Linked DNA regions of Drosophila melanogaster. The protein of the gene in region 2 interacts with the protein of the main gene of each other region in a pairwise test. Each region holds a gene or a part of one and is shown on either strand. Other genes may lie near its edges. The genes, in order: ergic53, CG2076, santa-maria and CG43658.

The links.
Region 1: the proteins of CG2076 (region 2) and ergic53 interact in a two-hybrid assay, tested with the Drosophila melanogaster proteins (one large-scale study listed by BioGRID).
Region 3: the proteins of CG2076 (region 2) and santa-maria interact in a two-hybrid assay, tested with the Drosophila melanogaster proteins (one large-scale study listed by BioGRID).
Region 4: the proteins of CG2076 (region 2) and CG43658 interact in a two-hybrid assay, tested with the Drosophila melanogaster proteins (one large-scale study listed by BioGRID).

What each region holds. Positions count from the first base shown.
Region 1 is NT_037436.4:8,533,052-8,538,517, forward strand, and holds ergic53 (ergic53), read left to right. Parts: upstream 1-1,925; 5' UTR 1,926-1,954; coding exon 1,955-2,135; intron 2,136-2,322; coding exon 2,323-3,041; intron 3,042-3,116; coding exon 3,117-3,592; intron 3,593-3,839; coding exon 3,840-3,965; intron 3,966-4,030; coding exon 4,031-4,067; 3' UTR 4,068-4,962; downstream 4,963-5,466. Other genes in the region: foi (fear-of-intimacy), read left to right, coding at 1-54.
Region 2 is NC_004354.4:11,088,345-11,092,606, forward strand, and holds CG2076 (uncharacterized protein), read left to right. Parts: upstream 1-1,865; 5' UTR 1,866-2,234; coding exon 2,235-2,454; exon of another isoform or gene 2,455-2,521; coding exon 2,522-2,633; exon of another isoform or gene 2,634-2,706; coding exon 2,707-2,848; exon of another isoform or gene 2,849-2,946; coding exon 2,947-3,283; exon of another isoform or gene 3,284-3,380; coding exon 3,381-3,513; exon of another isoform or gene 3,514-3,576; coding exon 3,577-3,658; 3' UTR 3,659-3,754; downstream 3,755-4,262. Other genes in the region: vago, read left to right, coding at 1,027-1,108, 1,177-1,315, 1,382-1,643.
Region 3 is NT_033779.5:7,445,197-7,452,770, forward strand, and holds santa-maria (scavenger receptor acting in neural tissue and majority of rhodopsin is absent), read right to left. Parts: upstream 6,049-7,574; 5' UTR 5,753-6,048; exon of another isoform or gene 2,492-5,752; 5' UTR 2,452-2,491; coding exon 2,311-2,451; intron 2,106-2,310; coding exon 1,800-2,105; intron 1,740-1,799; coding exon 1,220-1,739; intron 1,158-1,219; coding exon 433-1,157; 3' UTR 159-432; downstream 1-158. Other genes in the region: Gr28a (gustatory receptor 28a), read right to left, coding at 7,345-7,464, 7,524-7,574.
Region 4 is NC_004354.4:17,558,152-17,562,778, forward strand, and holds the start of CG43658 (uncharacterized protein), read right to left. Parts: upstream 3,030-4,627; 5' UTR 2,678-3,029; intron 1-2,677.

The DNA.
Region 1 (5,466 bases), on a different chromosome or scaffold from region 2:
CTGATGAGCGCGTTCGGCACAGCGGGAGCCGCATCACACCAGCACGCGCACTAATAACATAAGTGAAATTGTAACCAACCGCAGCGAATCTTGTAGCGTATTATGTGAATTGCAGCGAATCTTGTGTATTAACTGCATTTTTTCCGCCAAGCCTATAGAACCTCTTGAATTATTATTTTTTGTATAATTTCATTACATTGTTGTTTACATTATTAGTTCACAGAGTTAGACAAAACAGAACCACAGACACAGCCGGTTGGCGCTTATCAAACGCATTTGTTATCCAGTTTATGAAACACACAACCTCACACCCACACACAAGCGACGCAATTCATCAAACTCGTTTTATTTTCGTTCCTAATTTTGCTATTGAACTGCGTTCGAATCCATTTCACACCCAATTTAATGTAAGATGTCTTGAAATTGGCTAGGTTATAAAGTGATCTTGAATTTAGATGAAAACATTTGAAAAGCATGCCGTGATGCTGTCAAATGAGAAAAGGAAGTAACAAAAAATGGATTGGATCTGGATCCCACAATCCTCTAATTACTGATCTTATACACGAAAGAGAACCTAAAAATTACGATATATTATATATAAATATACATATATATTGTAGGATATGTATACATACATATACTTTTTGTATTTTGTAGTCTAGAGTGCGCACGTTTACTTTATGCGAGTTTAACATTCTAAACCCAAAATAAAGGTATGTCCACCGCTGTTATGATTTTCTACAGTACTTAACGACTTGAACGCATATTTCCTCTTTCGGGAAATGTACACAAAACCCATTTAAGCTTAATTTATTATCGTATTTGTAATAAATTGAAAAGATTATTATATTGCACCATCATGCATAATTTAGATTTTCGCTACACTGTAGCGCCTTCGTTTAATTATAATTTTGTAATAAATCAAGCTAAAACAAAGACTTTGATTTTGTTTTAATCGATTTGAGTTTTTCTTTTGATCGCGCACAGAACTAACACGAAAGTGATTGTGATTCAAAATAAGTAACTAACATTTGTAAAATGGCGAAACTTGCGGCACGATCGCCCCTAATGACTATCCCCCACACACCGATCTGCACACAAAGCTATCACTTGTGTAAACTGAGCAACTAACAATATTTTATGAAGCCCACACTATGTGCTACCGAGGCATTAAAACCTATAATAATTCTAGCTGTAAGCTCTACGAAAACTACAAACGGTAGGAAATCAGAAACAAAGAATAAAGATGTAAACATATATACACACACTGTGCTAACTGTGCTAAAGGAATTTTGGAGATATGGATGTAATACTACTTTGGTGATATCACGCAAAAGGCAATTGAAACAACTAACGAAATAATTTTACAATAACGTATTGATAAACATGTATCTATGTAAGCACATGCGAATGGCGCGTATTTTGCTATATTTATGTTTATTTTCTAACGGGACGTAAACACTTTAAATTTTCAAAATAAATGTTTTTCCACCTCAACATCATAAAGTGATAACAAGATCTTTTGAATTTGGTGGGCATTTGCGATATCGATATAAAATCTACCGAAATCGATAGCGATTGTATTGTCGCTGCCTGAATATTTTTTAGATCACTTGGTTCTTGTTTCTTAGAATGCATGGAAAAACTTTTATCTTATAGAATTTTAAATTGTGATCTAAGCTGAAGTTAATTGTTATAGGATGGCTGGTTTTATTTAAGTTCAACATTTATATACGAAGGATGGCCTAAATAAATGTTCTAATCAATTTATATTATATTACCTTAATTGTTAATGGTAGACAATACATAAAATAATATTTGATTTTAAATTATACAATGCTTTTAGAACATCCAGTGCGATACCACCGCCTATCGGTGCCGGCTGGTTATCGATATCATCAGTTTGCACCATCGTCGCCCACCCACCACTAGTTGTCAACATATAATTGCAAAGATGCGGCCCACATTCCTGGCCATTTTGTGCTTCCTGGCGTGGAATCCCAGCTCCGAGGCGACCGGCAATCTGAGTCCTGGAGCCGTGGGCGTGCACCGTCGCTTCGAGTACAAGTACTCGTTCAAGCCGCCGTATTTGGCACAGAAAGACGGCACCGTGCCGTTTTGGGAGTACGGGGGAAGTGAGTACGAGTGGAAGACGCAGCTCCACGTCAGTTGTTTTGGCCCACTCGCTGCTGGTCTGCGGCCATGGGTGCGAGCGAGATGGCGCGAGGCGGCCAAGTGTACACGCAGGCACTTTGTTTGGATGTCGTTTTGACCACGGTTTCGGGTGTTTCTATAGCCACAACTTGTTGCTCCTCATTTCAGATGCCATCGCCAGTTCGGAAAGTGTGCGCGTGGCGCCATCGCTGCGCTCACAGAAGGGTGCCATCTGGACAAAGTCACAGACGAACTTCGACTGGTGGGACGTGGAGATCGTGTTCCGGGTGACGGGACGTGGCAGGATCGGAGCCGATGGATTGGCCTTCTGGTACACCACGGAAAAGGGTGACTACAATGGGCCTGTGTTCGGATCCTCGGACCGCTGGAATGGTCTGGCCATCATGTTCGATTCCTTCGATAATGACAACAAGCACAACAATCCTTACATCAGTGCCGTGCTCAATGATGGCACCAAGCTGTATGACCATGCCGAAGATGGAACCACTCAGCTCCTGAGCGGTTGCCTCAGGGATTTCCGTAACAAGCCCTTCCCTACACGGGCGCGAATCGAGTACTACAACAACGTGCTTACCGTCATGATCCACAACGGAATGTCCAACAACAACGATGACTACGAGCTGTGTCTGAGAGCGGATGGCGTCAATCTGCCCAAGAACGGCTACTTTGGCATTTCCGCCGCCACGGGCGGTCTGGCCGATGACCACGATGTGTTCCATTTCCTGACCACGTCGTTGCATGCCGCTGGACAAGTTCAGGAGCAGCCCAAGGTGGAAAACCAGGAGAAGCTTACGCAAGAGTACAAGGAATACCAAGATAAACTGGAGAAACAGAAGCAGGAGTACAAGAAGGACCATCCCGACGAGGTAATTGCCACGCAGCCAGCTGATAAAGATGTCTTATCGCTAGTTTTGATAATCAACTTTCGTATAATCCCACAGCACAAAGACGAGGAGGACTGGGAGGAGTTCTACGAGTCGGAGAACCAGCGTGAGCTGCGTCAGATCTGGCAGGGTCAGAGCCAAATTGCCGATCACCTACGCGAACTTTCCCGCAAAGTGGATGAGATTATTGGCCGCCAGGAGACCACGCTGTCGCTGGTCTCACGTAATGCTGGACAGGCTCTGCCTCCGCCCGCCGCCGGCGGAGTGCCACAGCAACAGCTGCCCGTTGGCGCAGTCAGCAGGAGCGATGTAGATCTTCTGCTCACTAATCAGAACATGCTGCTCAGTTCCATCCGCGAGATTCGTCAACTGGTTGGCGATATCAATGTGCGCACTGATAACATTCAAACGAATCAGAAGCATGCGCCCACAGCACAAATCCAATCCACCGGCTATGATGTACAAACGCTCATCGCCGAGATGCGCGATGGCATGAATCAGGTCAAGCAGGGCATCACCCACGTGGGCCAAAGGTGAGGAATACGCTCAAAGTCTATTTTAAGTTTCCTAAAGCTGTTGTCATCGAAGTTATTCTGAGCTCGAATTAATTTTAACCTTTTCAGCCATATTTATACTAATTTTTCGTATTCCACATTATGAAATTAGAGTTTTAACAAGTTTGATTCAGAGGAACATGTTTATGAGTTTTAGACTATTATACTTTATTGTCATCTTTTAAGTACCTCCTTGATACTCAATATGCATTCCCTTACCTTGCAGATTGGCAGCGCCACAGGGAGCAGCGCAGGTGGCCAATTGTCCCACGGGCAATTGCGTTGGAGTCACATTGTTCCTAAGCGTAACTGTTGTGCAACTGCTGCTAGTCTTCATCTACAACGTCTTCAAGTGAGTTCATGGAATCTTTAAGCGTGGATTCGAAACTAAACAATCTAACTTATTATTCCTTGCAGAAACCGCAGCGAAGCACAGGCGAAAAAGTTCTATTAGGCGAATTCGCGACTTATTGGGATCGTAACGAATAACAAACACACAAGCATACACCCACAGAAATCACGAGGAAACAGATTCGCACACCTGACTAGGCAGCAACTAAATTTAGTTAAAATGAAAGATTTAAGACTTCAGCGTAGCATGCTCTACCATTATGTGTAACTGTTTGTTTTTTAAATAGAAGTCTGTTTAAGAAGTCAGGTCACGAATACAAACTCAAGTCGTTACTTAATCAAAGCAAGAACAAGAAATTTGATCAATGATGTATGCCTCATGACAATGCCACGCAATACAAAACGAAGAAACCGTCGAAGAAGCCACAAGACAAACTTCCCTTAGTAATAGCCAACAGAAGATGTTTCATATTTGTTTTAGCAAGTCAAGTCGAAAGTTTCACTCCATTCTCAACTCTGCATATCATGTGTGCAGGCATTTATAAGAAGCACAAGAAAATCTATCTAAAAAAAAATAAAAATAAAAATGGCAAAATCTATATAAGTACGAAAATTCCGTAAACGTAGCAAATTTTTGTAATATCTTGTATACTTTAGAGTTGAGATGAATCCATCAGGCTCGGCTCTTGAAACTGAATTGGCAACATAAATCTTTTTTCCCATTTTCATGCGCCAAATGGTCAACAAAGCTAGTTAGCCAGCATTTTTGTTATTACGCCAGAAAGTGAATTAATTTAATAATTATGATGAACTGTCTCACTAAGTTTTTGTTCGGTTCGCATCGTCACTGGTGCGATGTAAGGAAGTTTTCTACTGAATAATCTTAATATACATACTGATAAATTATAAAACAATTGAAGTGAAGTGTGTTTTTATATATGTTGTCCATTCCAGTCTCGATAGAAATGTTTAAAGTGAAAATAAAAATCAATTTATAGAAAAATCTATCTCCAACTGTTCAACTTGATAGTTTTAATCTGCGTCCTCATTTTATTTTTATACTTTTCCGAATGCGATATTATTTTCGCTGATGTCGACAGAGGAAAAAGTTTATTTCTTGAAAAGTCCTCGCAAGCATAAACTAGAATCCCTGTCAGTTGCCCATCCCCATCTTCATCCTCCCATCGATGACAATGCGGCAAAAATGGCGCCACTTGGTCGCCAGAATGCGTGGGGCTGGGGAACGAGTTGGGTTCTGGTGAACTTTGGCCATAAAATGTAACTGCCAATGGTGGCATTGTGGGCAGGTCCTCTGTGGTCTGAGTACCCATTCCATCGCATTGGGGAAAATCCCAGGAAAAGCACAGCCAAAGATAGATGGACAGAAGCCAACGGCAGTCGCGGCCCATGCAATAAATTCTCTACGGGATCGGGGAATGGGTTACACAGTTCTGGTGTGCGGTTGGATGGTAGCTTCGCCTATGTGCTCCGTTTCCTATATA
Region 2 (4,262 bases):
TTTTGGATGATTCACCACCAATCGATGCCCCAGTGCCCGACTGTCTGCATAATGGACTTGGTGGCATTGGATGATCATGATCGTCCGGCGCGAACCAAAACATCGAAACGTAAACAATTCTTTGCATCTCAACTCAAATGTTTATACAATTTTATACATCAACGGTCAAGAGAATGGGTACAACCAATTCAAAATCAGAAGCAAACAATTACTGAGACAGTCGACTTAAATACAATTTTTAATAAAATCTGCATTTTCTAGCAGTAAATCGATGTATTCTATTAATTTCTGCATACATTTTGCTCTATTTGTGATATAATTATCATTATTATTAATTGAATTATGCCAATGAAAGTACTTTCTATATTTGTGGATTCAATCATGCGAATATAGGTATATATTATTATGCTGATTAGGCAGGTCAGACGGACTTATATACAATACACAAAATATGGATCGATATTTGTTTCTTTTTGCATATTGCTATTAATCGTTTTCCTTCCATTTTATTTTGTAGCGCGATAAGCAGAGCATCGTAAGTTGCGTTCCGAAACTGTCAATCCAATAATTAACAGAAATTCACTTAGTAATATAAACTGAAAGTTGATGGCTTTATAAGGCGTAAGAGTCTGAAGATGTAAATGATGTTGCTCATCAACTGAAAATATAGCTAAATTTGTATGATTGAATCTATTTTTGGCAAAGCAAGGGAATTTTTCAACGGTATTGAGATCTATTTCAATATCATAAACATTTGTTTTAACACCTATGAAACGCACTGTTCGCAGGCTCGTACGCATAAACATTCAACAGATCCGAGTAAAATTTGTTAAATTTATTGTAGAGAAAGCGCGCAAATGTCGTAAGTGTGTGATTCCATACAAATAAACAATGTACTCTAGGTTTTTTAATATAAAAATGAACGAAGATTAACCGAACGGACTTCAGTTGTGCGCTAAACTTTGCAAACGTCGGGCCAAATTCTGTCCGCCGATCTCAGTTCTTTCGAATAGCAAATTTTCACAAATGGAGTCAATTAGCAGCATGATTTATTTAGTGGCCATGATGTCATTGATCATCGGTGGCAGCCAAGCGATTCCTTATCGACGTACGATTTTTCCAAATAACACATATATTTTCCAGTAATATACGTTGATTTTCCCTTTCACCCTATAGCCTCGGCGTATCTGTACAATCAGCAGTACTGTATGGATACATTGACGGGTCGGCAGCTTTATATCGGTGAAGTCTTCACGCGAGAGGATCAGTGCGTCCGCATCCAATGCCTGGAAACGCTGCAACTCTGGGAGGATAGGTAAGCGTGCCGTACTAGTATGCCATAGCATCGGGTAACAGATCATCGTACTCATCCATGGTCCAGCTGCCAGGTGCCGAAACTGACGCAGGGCAATTGCACGCCAGTTCCATCGACGAACCCGCATGCCGAATATCCCCGATGCTGCCCACTGTATGAGTGCAAGAGCTACGAGTCGAATTCGGGGGGAACTCTGGAGCAGACCAACATATATGACCACTATGGTACTCTGCGATCATCCCATCTCACTGAGATGATAGTGATCGACGGGCGGACACCCCCTCGTGGCGAGATTCACACGGCGTCGGCGAGGAAGTATCAGGTGTGAGAAGTGAACTGGTACTCTGTTCCTAGGACTACTTAGTCTTTAGTGCAGATCTAATGTGTACAAATACAAATGGAGTTTATTGCGGAATACTTGAATATGTTAAATAAATTTAAATTTCACATTTTTTTTGTCTAAAGAAGTGTATTTTTTCCACTGTACTCGCTATTCAAACTTGGCGCCCTATCGATAGCATTGCTTAGCTTATCAAATAAATTATCTCAGACAACGGGCTACGATTTGAATTCCTTACTTCAGGATCGTTGAGTTTATATTTCTATTTATTTTCTCGGGATTTTCAATATTATATTTTAGCATAATATCGATATTAGCGGTATTTGTGGCCGTCTGCGATAGGCATTTAGTTATCACGTAGCCAGACATCGAATAACGATTGCACCACTTATCGATAATAAAGCACAAGAGACAGTAAAATATTTAACAATTTCTACGAATCAACAAATTATAAAGCCGCAGTGAGCAATTAAAATCAGTTGGAAGAAACGCTAGTGCCCCACATAGGAATCCGAATCAAGCAGCACTTACCGAAGGACAACCAATTGCCCTCTAACCGAATTTCACCACAACAACACAATGTTGCTGCGTCTAGCACTTTCCACCGCCCGTCCAGCCGGGGCTATCAAGATCCTGGCCCAGTCTCCGGCCCAGCTGTTCCGGGCCAATGCCAATCCCAATCTGAATCTCTCCACGGTGCGCACCTACGCCCGCAGGGTGGTTCGCACCCGTGAGCCCGTCGAAGAGATGCGTGCTCCCTCGCTGAAGGAGAAACTGATGGGTCCGCCAAGTGCCAATGGTAAGTCTCTTGTGTAATCCCCCATCTATGTATATCGGTCGTCTAATTGTACTCTTCTGGCGTGCAGCATACTCCATGGGCAAGGGCGCTGCCGCCGGAGCAGCCGCCGTGGGATTGGGCGCCCTGTGCTACTACGGCGTGGGATTGGGAAAACAAACCAGCATCGCGGATAATGCCATGTGAGTGATAGCACGAGTCTCTCACTTGCGAAATACAGGGACTTTAATAACTGAGATTATATTTTCCGTTTAGCATGTGGCCCCAGTTTGTGCGCGATCGTATCCAGAGCACCTATGCCTTTTTCGGTGGCTCTTGCGTTCTCACCGCGGCCGCAGCAGCAGCCACCTTCCGTTCGCACCGTCTCCTGGAGCTGGCCTCGCGTGGCGGCATCTTGGTGAGTCCTCTTGCACAATTCGTAGTTCTTGCCGCCTACCTGACCAACAGACACAACAGAACATAACACTTCCTCTTCATTTGCCTTTAATCGCTTAGGCGACCATTGCTTCGCTGGCGCTGGTCATTGGTAGTGGAGCAGTTGCCCGCTCGATTGAGTACCAGCCGGGTCTGGGAGCCAAGCATCTGGCCTGGGCGGTGCACTGCGCCATTCTGGGCGCCGTGATCGCACCCATTTGCTTCATGGGCGGACCGATTTTGACGCGCGCCGCTCTCTACACGGGCGGCATTGTTGGTGGCTTGTCCACGATCGCCGCGTGTGCACCCAGCGATAAGTTCCTCTACATGGGCGGCCCACTGGCCATTGGCTTGGGCGTGGTGTTCGCCTCCTCGCTGGCATCCATGTGGCTGCCGCCCACCACGGCGCTGGGCGCAGGTGAGTTGCCAGAAAGTTCCACTGGGGCTAGCACCACTTCGCATTATATTTTATGAATTGTCAAGCGGAGTTAACCCATTCAACTCTCTTTTCGCAGGTCTGGCCTCCATGTCCCTATATGGCGGCCTCGTCCTCTTCAGTGGCTTCCTGCTCTATGACACTCAGCGCATGGTCCGTCGCGCTGAGGTCTATCCCCAGTACAGCTACACTCCCTACGATCCAATCAACGCGTAAGTTCACTCCTCATCCATACCGTGCTCTGAAACTCTATACTTTTTGGTTCTATCTTTTAGCTCAATGTCGATCTACATGGACGTGCTGAACATATTCATCCGCATCGTTACCATTCTGAGTGGTGGTCAGCGCAGGAAGTGAGCACTGGAGACGAACATGTGATGCGAGGATTATACCCTCTAAAATATACATACATATTTATACTGTTATTAAAATAAACCGATCGAGTTAGGAAGCAAAATGTACGAACTTTGTGTTTCAATTTGGCTAATTTCAATTAGTGTCTTAATACACTCCAGACCTAGAAATTAAATAATATATTGTCCATATATTATATACAATCTCTAAAAAGAAAGCATTTTTTAAGATCAATTTAAAATGTTAGTCAATTTTAAGCTTGATAGCGATAAATGTAGCTAGCTTTTAACCGATATTTATAGCAGTTGGGTTCGTTGTTATCGATAGCTTAATTACTTTTATTACGGATCGTTTGCCGTATTACCTAATTAGTTAGAAATTTACCTCGTGCAATATTTGTTATTGGTCGTACAGAAGCTCTGTTTTTTTTTTTTTAATTCAAAAACCGATGGCAAAGTGAAATTGGGCTCTAGGGATGTATCGATATGCAATCGATGTTTCATTCAGCTTTTTTCGACAGGACCTAAGCATTCCTGTCAAGAATTGTTTAAATATTTCGAGTCGAGCCGGTCGACAGTTCGAAAATAAGTTCTCCCGCAGAAGCGCC
Region 3 (7,574 bases), on a different chromosome or scaffold from region 2:
ATACCATATATACTATATATTTTGTATAATTGTTATTGAACTAATAAAGATGAAAAAAATGTTGTTAAAATTCAAAACAAACGTTGTGAGCTGTAATGAAATAAAAATAGTTATGTGCAATCTTACCCACTTAACCTACTAAAATGATAATTTCCTTTGTAGTTGAAGATTTTATTTGACACGAAAGCCATGGGTCAAGAAATCATTTTAATACAAAACATATCTAATAACTAAGGAATGTAAAAAGAGTATTCGTTAGCTAAGCGAAGTCCACCAGACGTTTCGACTTCGAAGGCTATCTAATCTTTGGCATAGGCACGGGAATGCTTGCAATTTTCAGTTGGGTGTTTTAGAGTGTCACTAAACTATGAGCTACGACTAAAGCACTAGGACGGCTTAACTATCTAAATGGCGTGAATGTGGCGGTTCTGTTCAATCCTGCTTATTGTCGCTGATGGCTGTGGATGCAGTGGCCACACTTTCACCCGTCTGGGATTTAATAATGGTTGGCTTACGGCCTTTTTCGAGGAGCGGAGAACTGTCCGGAGATCCTTTGACACTCTTTTCGCACACCAAAGTGGAGGCCTTGGACTTCAGTTCCTCAGCACTGGAGAATTGAGAGCGACTCTTATACTGGCCATTCGTTTTGGTTTTGGTCCTCAGATCGTATCTACGATTTCGACAGGAAGCCAATAGAATCTGAACCGGAGTCCAGCAGAGTAGAGTTATGCCTACGATCAAGCAAATTCCGGCGAATATATGTCCGGAGAGCATGACAATGGGCAGCACCTTCAGTTGATCTGCCATATCTGGAGTGATTCTTACTTTCTGTTCGAACCATACGAGTGGGAAAAATATCCTTGGTATTCCAGTGTATAAGCTAATGCCTTGGATTGGCTCCACGAGCATATTCACTTGAAATCGGGCAGCCACCTCCAGGGGAATACCAGTACTTGGCTGCACAACCATATAAAACTCGTGATCCTTCTGGTTAGGACTCAAGCCCTCTACCTGATCTGGGTAGTAAGGATCGGCGTTGAAAAAGTGTGGATAGGACATAAAAACAGGAGATCCAAAGCGACAGGAACTGATGTTCATCACACCCGACGGAACACATTGGCCACCACAAAAACAAAGGTTCTCAGGATACTGGGTGCCTGAAATATAAATCTCTAATAGAATGGGTACTCACAATTAATCAATTCTTATCAAGACTCACCATTATCTACAGATCGTGGTCCGCCTGAGAATTTATAACCTTCCAGTCCTTCAATATCCACAGTTTCCACATAATCCAGCGGAATAGTTCGGCACATATCGGGCGTAAATAGACCAACACTATCGCCGGGCTTCAGATGCTGTGGCTGGAACTCCCCGGCGGATCCATTGGTCATACCGCAATAGGAATCAAAGAATCCAGTGTTCTCCTGGTAATTCCACGAGTGCATCTGACCCAGTTTGGCCAGTTGATCGGCGCCAGTGAAGACATTAAAAACTCCGGTAAGATCGGCACTTCCATTGCGCGTATAGAACCAACCGAACTTATCGAATGGAACCTTCACCTCATCACCAAAAATGGGCATGGCCATGGCCACGTCGATCATTGCGTCATTGTAACCGGTGAAGAGCAGCTCATCGATCGATTTTTGGACAGACATCTCGGCACCGTACATCTTTAGTCCCACATCGACAAGGGAGCGCTTAACTGGTGGCCAATATTTGGCTGTGGCGGCTGCAGACTGAAATGGAAATGTATAGTTATAGTTATATTATGTAATAAAAGGGAATAGGATACTTACCAGAGCCACTGCATTAAGCGTGGTAATCTCATCGTCCAGGCTGCCATTACTGCCCGCCGCATCAAAGTAGAACAAGCTGCGCCTGCGATAAGTGACGGATGCATTTTCTGGATGCCAGTGAATGTCCACCTTATCGGGTCGCTCGATAAAACGATAAGGACCCACCTGCTCCAGAATGGGCTTTGTGGAAAGGTTGCCGAAATCCTCCGGATTCGTCCAGTTGTACAGGTAGATGTCCAGACTGAGATCAATTGGCGGACTCTTCCAATTTTCATAGACACGTGTGTCGGGGGCCAGAGCCATTTCCTGTCGAAGAACAGAAGCCGCAATTGGTATTAATTGAAAATCTCAACGAGTTTTCCTCGATCTTTGACTCGCGCCAATTGAGAGGCGGCTGTTTTTCTTTTGACTTTCAATTGGCTTTAGCCACTAATCGAATGCAGCTGGCCGGGCTAACACTGGAGTGAAGTGAAATGAACTTAACTGAACCTCTGTCAATGACTGGGATTACCTTGTGCATGATCCAATCGAACAGGTCCACCCAGAACATGCCGCACAATATGCCAAATAGTCCCAGGCAAAAGCCGAAAATGCCGATAATTAATTTGCGATTACTTTTTTGGCCCCACATTGCGCTGTTTTGTGTTGGCATGGCTCACGCTGGGCGATGGTGTGTGGATACCTAATGGTGGCTGTAATGATATGCAAGTCATTGAAACATCAATGAAAATGGATAAATTGATAGTCTATTTGCCAACATATAAAAATGGATCAAATGAAAGAACTCATAAATGTAGTGCAAGTTGAGAATGTACTGATAAGTTTTCTATTATAAAATCATTATGAACAAATCATAATACAATAATTTAAAATATAACTTTACACAATATTATTTTGTGAACTCATGTTCATGTTGCCTACTTTCAGGCAGTGCTAGTTAAAGAATAAAAAAAATGTAGAATCAAATCTCTTATTAACAGATGCATCAAGTCACATATTAATATAAGTATGGCGAACAAAGAAATCAACAAAGAATTGAATACAAATAAAATGCAAAAAGCGCAGCATTTTATTGAGTGACGAATTCCCATAGCGTCTATTTTTATCAATATAATTGAATCAATTTAAGCAAAGCGTGACTTTCAATTGCTGTTTACACTCATGTAGAATATACTAAGTCCGGTAAGTATATGTGTACATATATACAGAACTATAGTCGAATCCCCTATCAGTGGTGATAATTACAAAGCTTCCCCCGACACTCAACGATGATGTGTTTTAATTAGTTATGATAGTTTGAAGCTGCATTGCAAGCAATACGTGTAATTATCCATTTCGTTTACGAATAACATGCATGAATGTGGATAAAATATTTTATGATCGCATTCGGTAGGCGAATTTTCCTATATGGGGCATTCACTGTGGTCCGATAAGCGGATTCTGAACTCTTAGGTAAACAGACCCATGAGGAAGCCACAGACAATTGAGGAAATTGAACTGCACTGCACTTATCGCTTATCGGGAATCCATCCTCTGGCAATTATTTGACCAATCTGCCCAGAGTTCCCATCACCAAACACTATGTATCACTTGAGCATAAATATTGCATATGTACGTACATATGCCACAGGTTCGCATCTCTGTGATATATCGTCATAATTGAGTCTATCAATTGACCCCGCAGTGAGCTATGGTTGGGTCTTTGACACTTTGCGTTATTGCACATGAATACGAGTAGGAATCTATATATATATATACACATATATACATATATATATGCTTATTTGGGAGCGTGTCAGTTGTGTTCTGGTTGGTGTCTGGTAAATTGATATGATTATGTCTTTTGAATGATGAATAGCTGTCGAGCATTTGTCGGCGCCTTTTTATTGTCTTCACAATTAATCTGAAGTGAGTTTTAATTGAAATGGACGTTGGACAGGTGCATCACGTAGAGTTCATCCCGCATTTTTCGCTTAATTCAATTAGATCAAGAGCAATACCGCACATAACGAGGATAGATTTTGAATGGAAATCTAAGAGATTTTAGCAGGAATATCTCTTTTTGTGAGAAAATATTTATAGCAAGATACGTTTTTTTTTCAGTGCAGTTCTTTGATATTCGCTCTTGAAGCTCGAAGCCGCAACACTGAATAATTGCGTTTAATTAAGCTTAAATTTTAGTGACCGGTATATTTGATTCATTATTAAATTAGGCATGCTCTTGTCATACTCTCTGGTTCTTGATCTTCTATATTAACATTTTTATGAATGCTCCGAACGCTTTATTCATATTCTATGCAAATGCACCGAGAACACTGAACTCTGAAGTGATGCCACATCGAAAGTGAATGCATTCTGAAACATTCTAGCAAGAATTATCTGCCTTTTTGGCGTTAACTTCCTGAGTGCAAGTGCACTTGATATGAAACGGAAATTCTAAGTACTAAGTCAGACGCAGTAAACCCGATACTTTAAGATCGTCTACTGGATGTGAGACAAGTCAACACCTTCTCAGTTTTTCCTGATGTTTTTCAACCCCATTTAACCACAAAGGCTGCCATTGAGATAAACCGCAACTTACAGATTTGACGCAGTTCGCAAATTCACATATGCTTGGGCGAGTATTTTTTGATAACGAGCTATCGGCATGTAATTGAGTTTTCGCAGCCTTCAAGTACGAAAATACACACGACGATTTAAAAAAAAGCCAACAACTATAAATAAAGAGCGAAAGGCTAAACCGTAAATAGGCTTGGTACTTTTAAAGGTCCCTGAACTGCAGAAAGTTATTTTGTTTCTTTTTAATGAACTTTAAATCAAAAAATTTCTTTAAATGCCACTTTTACGTAGCCAAGATTTCAGTATTAACTAAAGTTGTTTAAGCCCTTTGAGATTTTAATTAATTCATTGTGAATTGATTAATTGATTTGACTTTAATTGTCCAGCATGAGTTGAATTCTTAAACGAAACTTTAATGAACATGCTATTAGGGGCTAGTTTCGATTATCTTGAACTATATTTAAACGGGTCCCATGAGTAATTTGCCAACGAACAGCTGTATTTATTGAGGATTCGCCAATCTGGGCATTGATTATTCAATTAGCGAATAGCTGGAAAATGAATGTGAAGTTTCTTTGGCTCTTTATTGCATACAATAAAGAAAATTTAAATAAATATTTTAATTTGCAATTTTTAAGACATTCGTTGGTTTTCTATTAGAGTATTTACATTATTTGTTTTTCAGATATTTATTATCTTATAAAGGCACACGCAACTGCAATTAGTTGGGAGCAAGTTGATATTTAATTATCTTGAACTTTAAATGGTTAACAGGTCGCATACGCAATGTGTTTTGTACACCACTGTTTTGTTTTTTATTTATATACCAAATAAGATCAGCTGCCGTTCTTTTGCAGAAAATTCCAAAACATATACTAGATTTTTTTATTTTTTCATTATAATTTATCATCGCCCAATTTCGTTTTATGTAAAAATACAAGCTACAAAACATAATTCGTCAACGGGGCGCATGCTTAATATTTTCCTGAGCAGCTGTTTTCCCTGGGACTAATTTTAGACCATTAATCGCACAATCAACAGGTCGCCTCGTAGTCCAAGCTGGAAGCCCTTTGTTTTGCATTCCGGCACTCTTATTTCTTCAAAAGGGAGACGACACACAAAGCCAGTATAAACACAAAAAGAATGTATAATATAGATTGCCACTGTACATACATATATATTTGGTTTTCTGTCTGGCGACTATTTTTCATTCTTGTCGAGTTAATTTCATTTAATGACCTGTAATCTTAATAAGTCTGCCGGCGATTAAGCCAAATCAAGCCAAAACGTAATGTGTTAACAAAGCAGGAAGCGCTAAGAAATTACGTGATATTGCGAAAGGAGTTTTCTTTTGTCTTTCCAAATTTCCTTTATTTTCTTTTAAAGGCACTCACTTGACTTTTATTTGCTAAATAGAAACAAATCACAGGCTCCTCGGTTTTTTTTTTACGTTTTGATTTTCCTTGCGAGGAAATTGAAATTCGATAAGGATGTGGACAGAACGCTTGAGCACGTGGATGATTTCTTTGCACAGAGGCCGGAAAAGTGGACACGAGTCCCTGGGAAATGCCGTAAAATGGTACCGCTTCGCCCGGCGGCTTCGATGCGACTGTGCGGCGGACTCTCAGCGAACGGACCGCGAGCAGAGCGGAGCGGTCTCGGCGGCCGATGAATGTCAGTCAAGTGCGGCACATGGAAATGGAAATGTATATGGAATTGGGCTTGAGAAGAGCTCCGAGTATCCGAGCAACGGTGTGTATGTGTGTGTGCGAGTGGGTGTTTGGGTTAATTTGCGCTTTGGGCTTTTCATAGTTGTGCCATTGAATTTTGAATTAAACAATATACAATCTGAAACGCGAGTACGACTTTAAAACTGTAGAATGCATCCAAGGGAAGAAGTAGTCAGAAACAACAGTGTCACCATCTTTATATAAATTTTTGGAAATAATCTAAATTGAACCATTTGCTTTGTTAAATACGTTTACAAATATTTTAGTTTCTTATATATATATTTTTTAAATATTTACATCTAATAAATATCAAATGATATAAAAATGAAATGAATGAACTGAAAGAGTCAACATATTTTCTATTGTTCAGTCGAATAGCAAATATAACTGGGTCACATTTCAAAAAATCACAATCAGCGAAAGAAATTCCTATGCACTTAGATTTCATAAAACTGCGAATTTTCGCATACGAATCGGGTGGCTTGTGGAAAAGTAAACAAATCGTAAAGTAGAAATCCGAATTGATAACAAATTGTCGAAGCCTTATCAATGCGGCTAATCGTGATGATTAGCACTGGGTGAACAGCGAACATTCACGACTAACCCCACACACTTGTAAGCTGCGAAAATCGACAAGCGATCAGAGCAAAGTTTCAACTGTTTTTTTGTTTTATTTCGCTATCATAGGGGCACAACTCCCCAGCAAATGGCATAGAAAACACCCATGGATTGCAGTCTGAGGCAATAAAACAATAAAATGTCATTGCTTCAGTGCGTATTCAGGCTGGCTTCCTTATTGGATTAGTCTTTTGCCTCCTTTCACATGGCGTGCTAACTGGGATTAGCTATCAGTTGTGGCCAAAAGTCAGTTACCGCTGCAGATTATGTTGCAATGTTGTGAAGTGGAGCAAGCAGAAGTGGGTCAAGCCAGCCCTTAGCTTCGAAATGGGTCTCGGCCAGCATTATCCATTTGAATTCATTAGTGAAATTCAAGCAGCTCATGTCAGCCAGCAACACAGTCAGTGACGTAGCAACCAGCTTGTTGTTGTCGATTGGCTTACGTTACGTGAATACGTAACGTACTGATTAAGTGCAATTGAAATGTTTACTTGCTTTAAATATTATATCATAACTTAAAAAATACGGATAAAAAATGTAATTTACTGCGAGCTGGAAAACTTTAATTTATTTTTCATCTGTACGTTAGGACACTTTATGTTTAAATTTAATTGATTAATGTGTATATATAATTTTAATCAATCGCCGAGATGAATGGAATGTAAATTATTTGTTGAATTGGAGCTGGTGTCGTCCATGTGATGTGTGAATCGAAACTGAATTAGGATAATGAGGTAGCACGTGGCAGCACCAGTAATCTGCAAAAATTAACCACTTAAATAAATAAAATATTTAATTATTTTCAACATTAGTTCACCGTAAAAATCAGTGTGCGATCCAGACGAAAAAGTCCTGCGGCTGTGAAAAG
Region 4 (4,627 bases), 6.5 Mb from region 2:
GTTTTTTTTTTAAGAACTTGTATGTTTTATTATATATTAAGGTAGCAATTTAGCCTTGTACATCCTTCTCTATTTTATTACAACATTTTGTAACAGCAATCACATGCAATTAACTTTACTATTTAACAGATTATTGGAGCACATATAGCAAATTCATATTTTAAAAACATTTTGATGCATTAAAAAGCTTTCATGTACTTTTTATGATGCTTATATAACTTATAAGCTCTACCAAATGAGTCAGATCCATTATAAAAAGGGGTAAAAAGGCGAAGAAAAAAATCAATTAAGCCCTGATATTTGATATTATTTTTCCTCTGCGCTCTGTGGGACTATCTTATAAATCGCCGTTGCCATTCTGATGCGTTCGGCTTTGTATTTTATGCTGCTCCTCGAGTTCAGAATTTTCTATTTGGCGATTTGGATGGATGGTTGAGGTGGGGGAGGGGGGGGGCGCGTTCGGGGGGAAGGCAAACAGCTTTAGACACTTTAACACATTCCTCTGGGAATGAATACTCCGTGGAAGGAGCCACTACACACTCGCACACTCACACAGCCAGACATTTTAGTGGGCCTTCAGCATCGACATCGAAAAGTCTCGGACTTCGACTTGGACGGGGATAAAAAGGTGCACTGATAAAAAAGCATGGGAACTTCATGCCGAGTCTGGTTTTCGAGAAGCACATCCTCATTTTCATTAATTCATTTATCATGACTTTAATAGTTAGGTAATACTGATTAGGAAATCTTTTAGGCTTGCAGTCCACGTTGTGACGAAGCGCACCAAGATAGTTAAATCTACCGTGATGGTCTGATCACATTAAACCAAATGTTTTATATATCTCTTATTTCGTAATTAGTTTTTTCTTGCAGTGCCCGAAGGTAAGAGAAACATTTAGACGACTTTCCAAGACCGGTTCTTTTGGCTCTATGAACTCGCCTTCGTCCGCCTCGTACTAACTAGAACTTGTGGCCAAAATAAAAGGCAAACATAAAGCAGCAGCAGCTAGGCTAACAAAAAAAAAAAAACACAAAAAAAAGGCAAAACAGGGAAATGGTCAGCTAGTTGGCCAGTAGCACTTGGCCAACGGCCCTGTCCTTCTGCACCTTTCCGTTTGGACGGATTTATTTTAGTTAATAAGCGAAATCAGCGGAGGGCTGCTCAAATTGTTTGCATTTTTCGGTTGCTTAAAAGGTCCTTACATTCGTCAAGTAATGTACAAAAAATGTAATGAACTGGTATTCAAAGAACTTTGTTTTTTTTTTTGTAATACTTTTTCCCCTAATTCAATTTAACATTCTTTACTGCGTGTCACACACACATTTTTGACATTTATCGGTTAATATATCTAAGATTATAATATACAACTTTCCTTTCTATTCGTTTATGTTTCTTTGTGAAATGTAACAGGAAGAGTCAACCAAAGGGGCACTTTTTTCTTCATTCAGTTTGATGATTGGCCACACTTCTGAAATTCCTGAATTCATTTTTTAACAGCACCCTGCTGAAACTGCCAAAACATTTCGACAGTCCAGAATTCGTACATTTTTTGTTTCGGTAGCTTGATTTTTAGTTTGTTTACTTTTTGCTACCTTTTTGCGTGGCGGTTGTGTCTTTTGATGATCGATCAGCTTTTGGAAGCAATCAGGGAGCCAGGAAATCAGAGGACTCGTCACTTTCCACCACCATGTTGGCCAACTAATTAGATTCGCTCTGAATTCCCGGCTAATTGAAAGGTGAGCAGCGCGCTTGAACTTTTGGCACTTGCCAACTTTTAAGCTGTGCCAAAATGCTAGAAAAACTTAACGCTTTGAGATGGAAACTTCTAGCAAAGTACAACAAAAAGTAAAAAAAAAAATGGACAAAGTAATAAATTGTACAAACAAATAAACAAACAGTAAATCTTATCTGAAGGTTTATTAACGTATTTCGACAAAAACTAAATTATTTCCATGCTTTAAAAGTTTGGTTTTAAAGCTCTTTATAAAGCAACAACCAAATGCCGGCGATGAAATTTCGATTTCTGTGGCGTATAAAAACTGCAAGTTATTCATCTTAATTAAAAGGGATCCTAATGGCCAAGGACCAAACAAAGGATACAGCTAAGGGCGACGCGACAACATTTCGAGCCAATTGCTTGTGAGACAAAAGAGCCAAGTTATTGTTGTTAATATAAATGTATGTAGTGAGTCTGCTAAAAAGGGGAAACCTGCTCTCACCCAAAAATTGACAACTCTGAAATTTATTTGTATTTTAAGAAAGTGTCTAAAAAGAGATGTTCAGAAAATATAATATGTGAAAACTTTATATCGCGATTTAAGCCCTAAAGTTACAACTTAATATACATAAAATAAATTCACGTAATATTTTTCTTTTTTTTTCGGTCAAGTATATGATTTTCGATTTTTTGAAATTTCATGCCAATTATTGTTTAAAAAACACAGACAACGCTTCCAGTTCTAAGGAAAAAAATATTCAATTTTGGTGCACTACAAATACTTTTTCTGCCACTTTTATAACCCTTATTTAACTAATTTGCGAAATACTTTTCCATTCAAGTGCTAATGTTTTGGCGGCTTTTTCGTTTTGCGGTTTTCGCAGGTGGCGGCAGCTGCCACGTGACCGCAAATGTCCTGCGGCAAACGCATCCTTAGCTACTTAAAAAGCTGCACTTACGTTTTCAGCAACGATCGGTTGACAACGGCGCCGCAAATTCAATGAACTCGAAACTAGTTTGGCACATAAACAAAAATCGCAAAAAAAAAGAAGTGTAACGAAATTAAAGGAAAACCGCACACACACGCACACACAAAATGAAAATATAATATTTCACACTACTTCATTTTTTTCGTGGCTCTTTCTAAAAACTGGTAAGAATTGCTGGCCACCAGGTTGTGGTTACTGTTGTTTCTGATCGCGACTTAAAAACGACGCTCTTCGCAGGATTAGCGCTCTCTTCGAAGAGAGCCCCAGCAGAAGTTTAAGGAGAGGAGACGTCCTCGCGCGAGCAGCACCAAAATCCAACTGCGGCCGAATCCCACGGACGCAGCGACGTCCCCACGTCGACGACGCCGGCAGTGCCGCAAATGCAGTTTGCTCGCCACAGGCACGGAAAAAGAATTAATGCCCAAATGGCTTAGAGCTTGTTTTAAGTTAATGATTGAATGGAAGCGACGTTTATTGTGAACTTAGTATTGCTAAAAAGTAAGTGTAAGTAAGTAAGTAATTTAATTTAACAATGCACATCACAAACCATAAAATTGGTTTCAATCTTTGAAATAGCTTAAACATTATTTTATCAAAAAAACATAATTAGTATACATATTTTTTTAAGAACTTTGGTATTTTGAAAACATTTAATAGCTGCGCAGTTGTAGCTGCTATTGCTTTGACTGCTGCTGTGGACCTGAGCTAGTGTGCGAATGGAGTGCAGAAGGAAAGGAACAAGAACTGCCAGATGAAACAAAAACAAAAAACAGCTAAAGCAGCAACAACAACATGCTGATGCAGTGGAGCTGTAGTTGTATTTGTAGTAGGAGTTGGAGCTGGAATTGGAGTTTGGAGTTCCAATCAGACGAAAAGCAACTAGCGACGCGCGCGCTCTTTTCCGCTCTCTCACACACTCTCTCGTTTTCGGCACACTACTCTCGCTCTCCTTTTGCATTACGTATACGCCAAACAACGCAAAACTTAAACCGGCATTTTGTTAGGCGCACGTTTTGAGCCTCTACGAAGAGTGGGATCGAAGAAGGGAAGCGAGGGAGAGAGCAGAAAATGCTTCAGAACAGGTGCGGATCACTTTCAAAACGGTGCAGGGTATAGTTTATATTGTAGTTTACCTAATGCCCGAAAAAGTAGGCAATGTTTTATGGGAATACGGTTACCTGATTAATTTTGTTAGTTCATCAATCTAAGCCGATCTATTAGTTTTGTTACAAAAAAAATTAAGTCTGCTTGGTTCATAACTGCGATGATACGGAAAAAAAGTTTATACTTTTCTGTTTTCTCGAAATGATGGTCTAACTAATACTGAGTTAGAAAATCTTCGTTGGTTGTCATATATGCAGCCAACCAACTGAATCCGCTCCTGGCAACTTAGCATTTTCGCGCGTGCAGCAGGCAGTGCAACAACAGCAACCCCAGCGCCGGAGAAGAGTGCATCGGTTAGTGTGTGCGTGTAGGTGTGTGTGTGAGCTGCAGCTGGCAGCGAGCTTCCTACTTTATTACTGGTTTCCAACTTAATAAAATATGTGGAGCGCTTGATTTACTCTCAACAAGGATACGCAAGGGTTAAGAAAAGCAATGGCAGGCAGAAGAGGGTTAAAAAGAGATAAGCCAAAGAGAGCGACTTTCTTCGCCAGCTGTTTCGCCGAGCTTCTCCCGTTGCCTTTTGTTTTTGCCGCGCATTCGCCGGCTGGGATCTCTCTTTCCCTTTCTCACACTCTCTTCTGTTTCGGTGCCCCTCTCCCACCGTCTGGCCTCTCACTCATACGCCAGCTGTTGCTCCTTTAAGCGCCAGCGTACCGGAATGCACTTAAAAAAAGTGTGGCCTTGAACGTCTAAAAGCATTACAAATTTACTCATATATAACTTAAATGAATAATTAATATATAAAAATAAAGAACG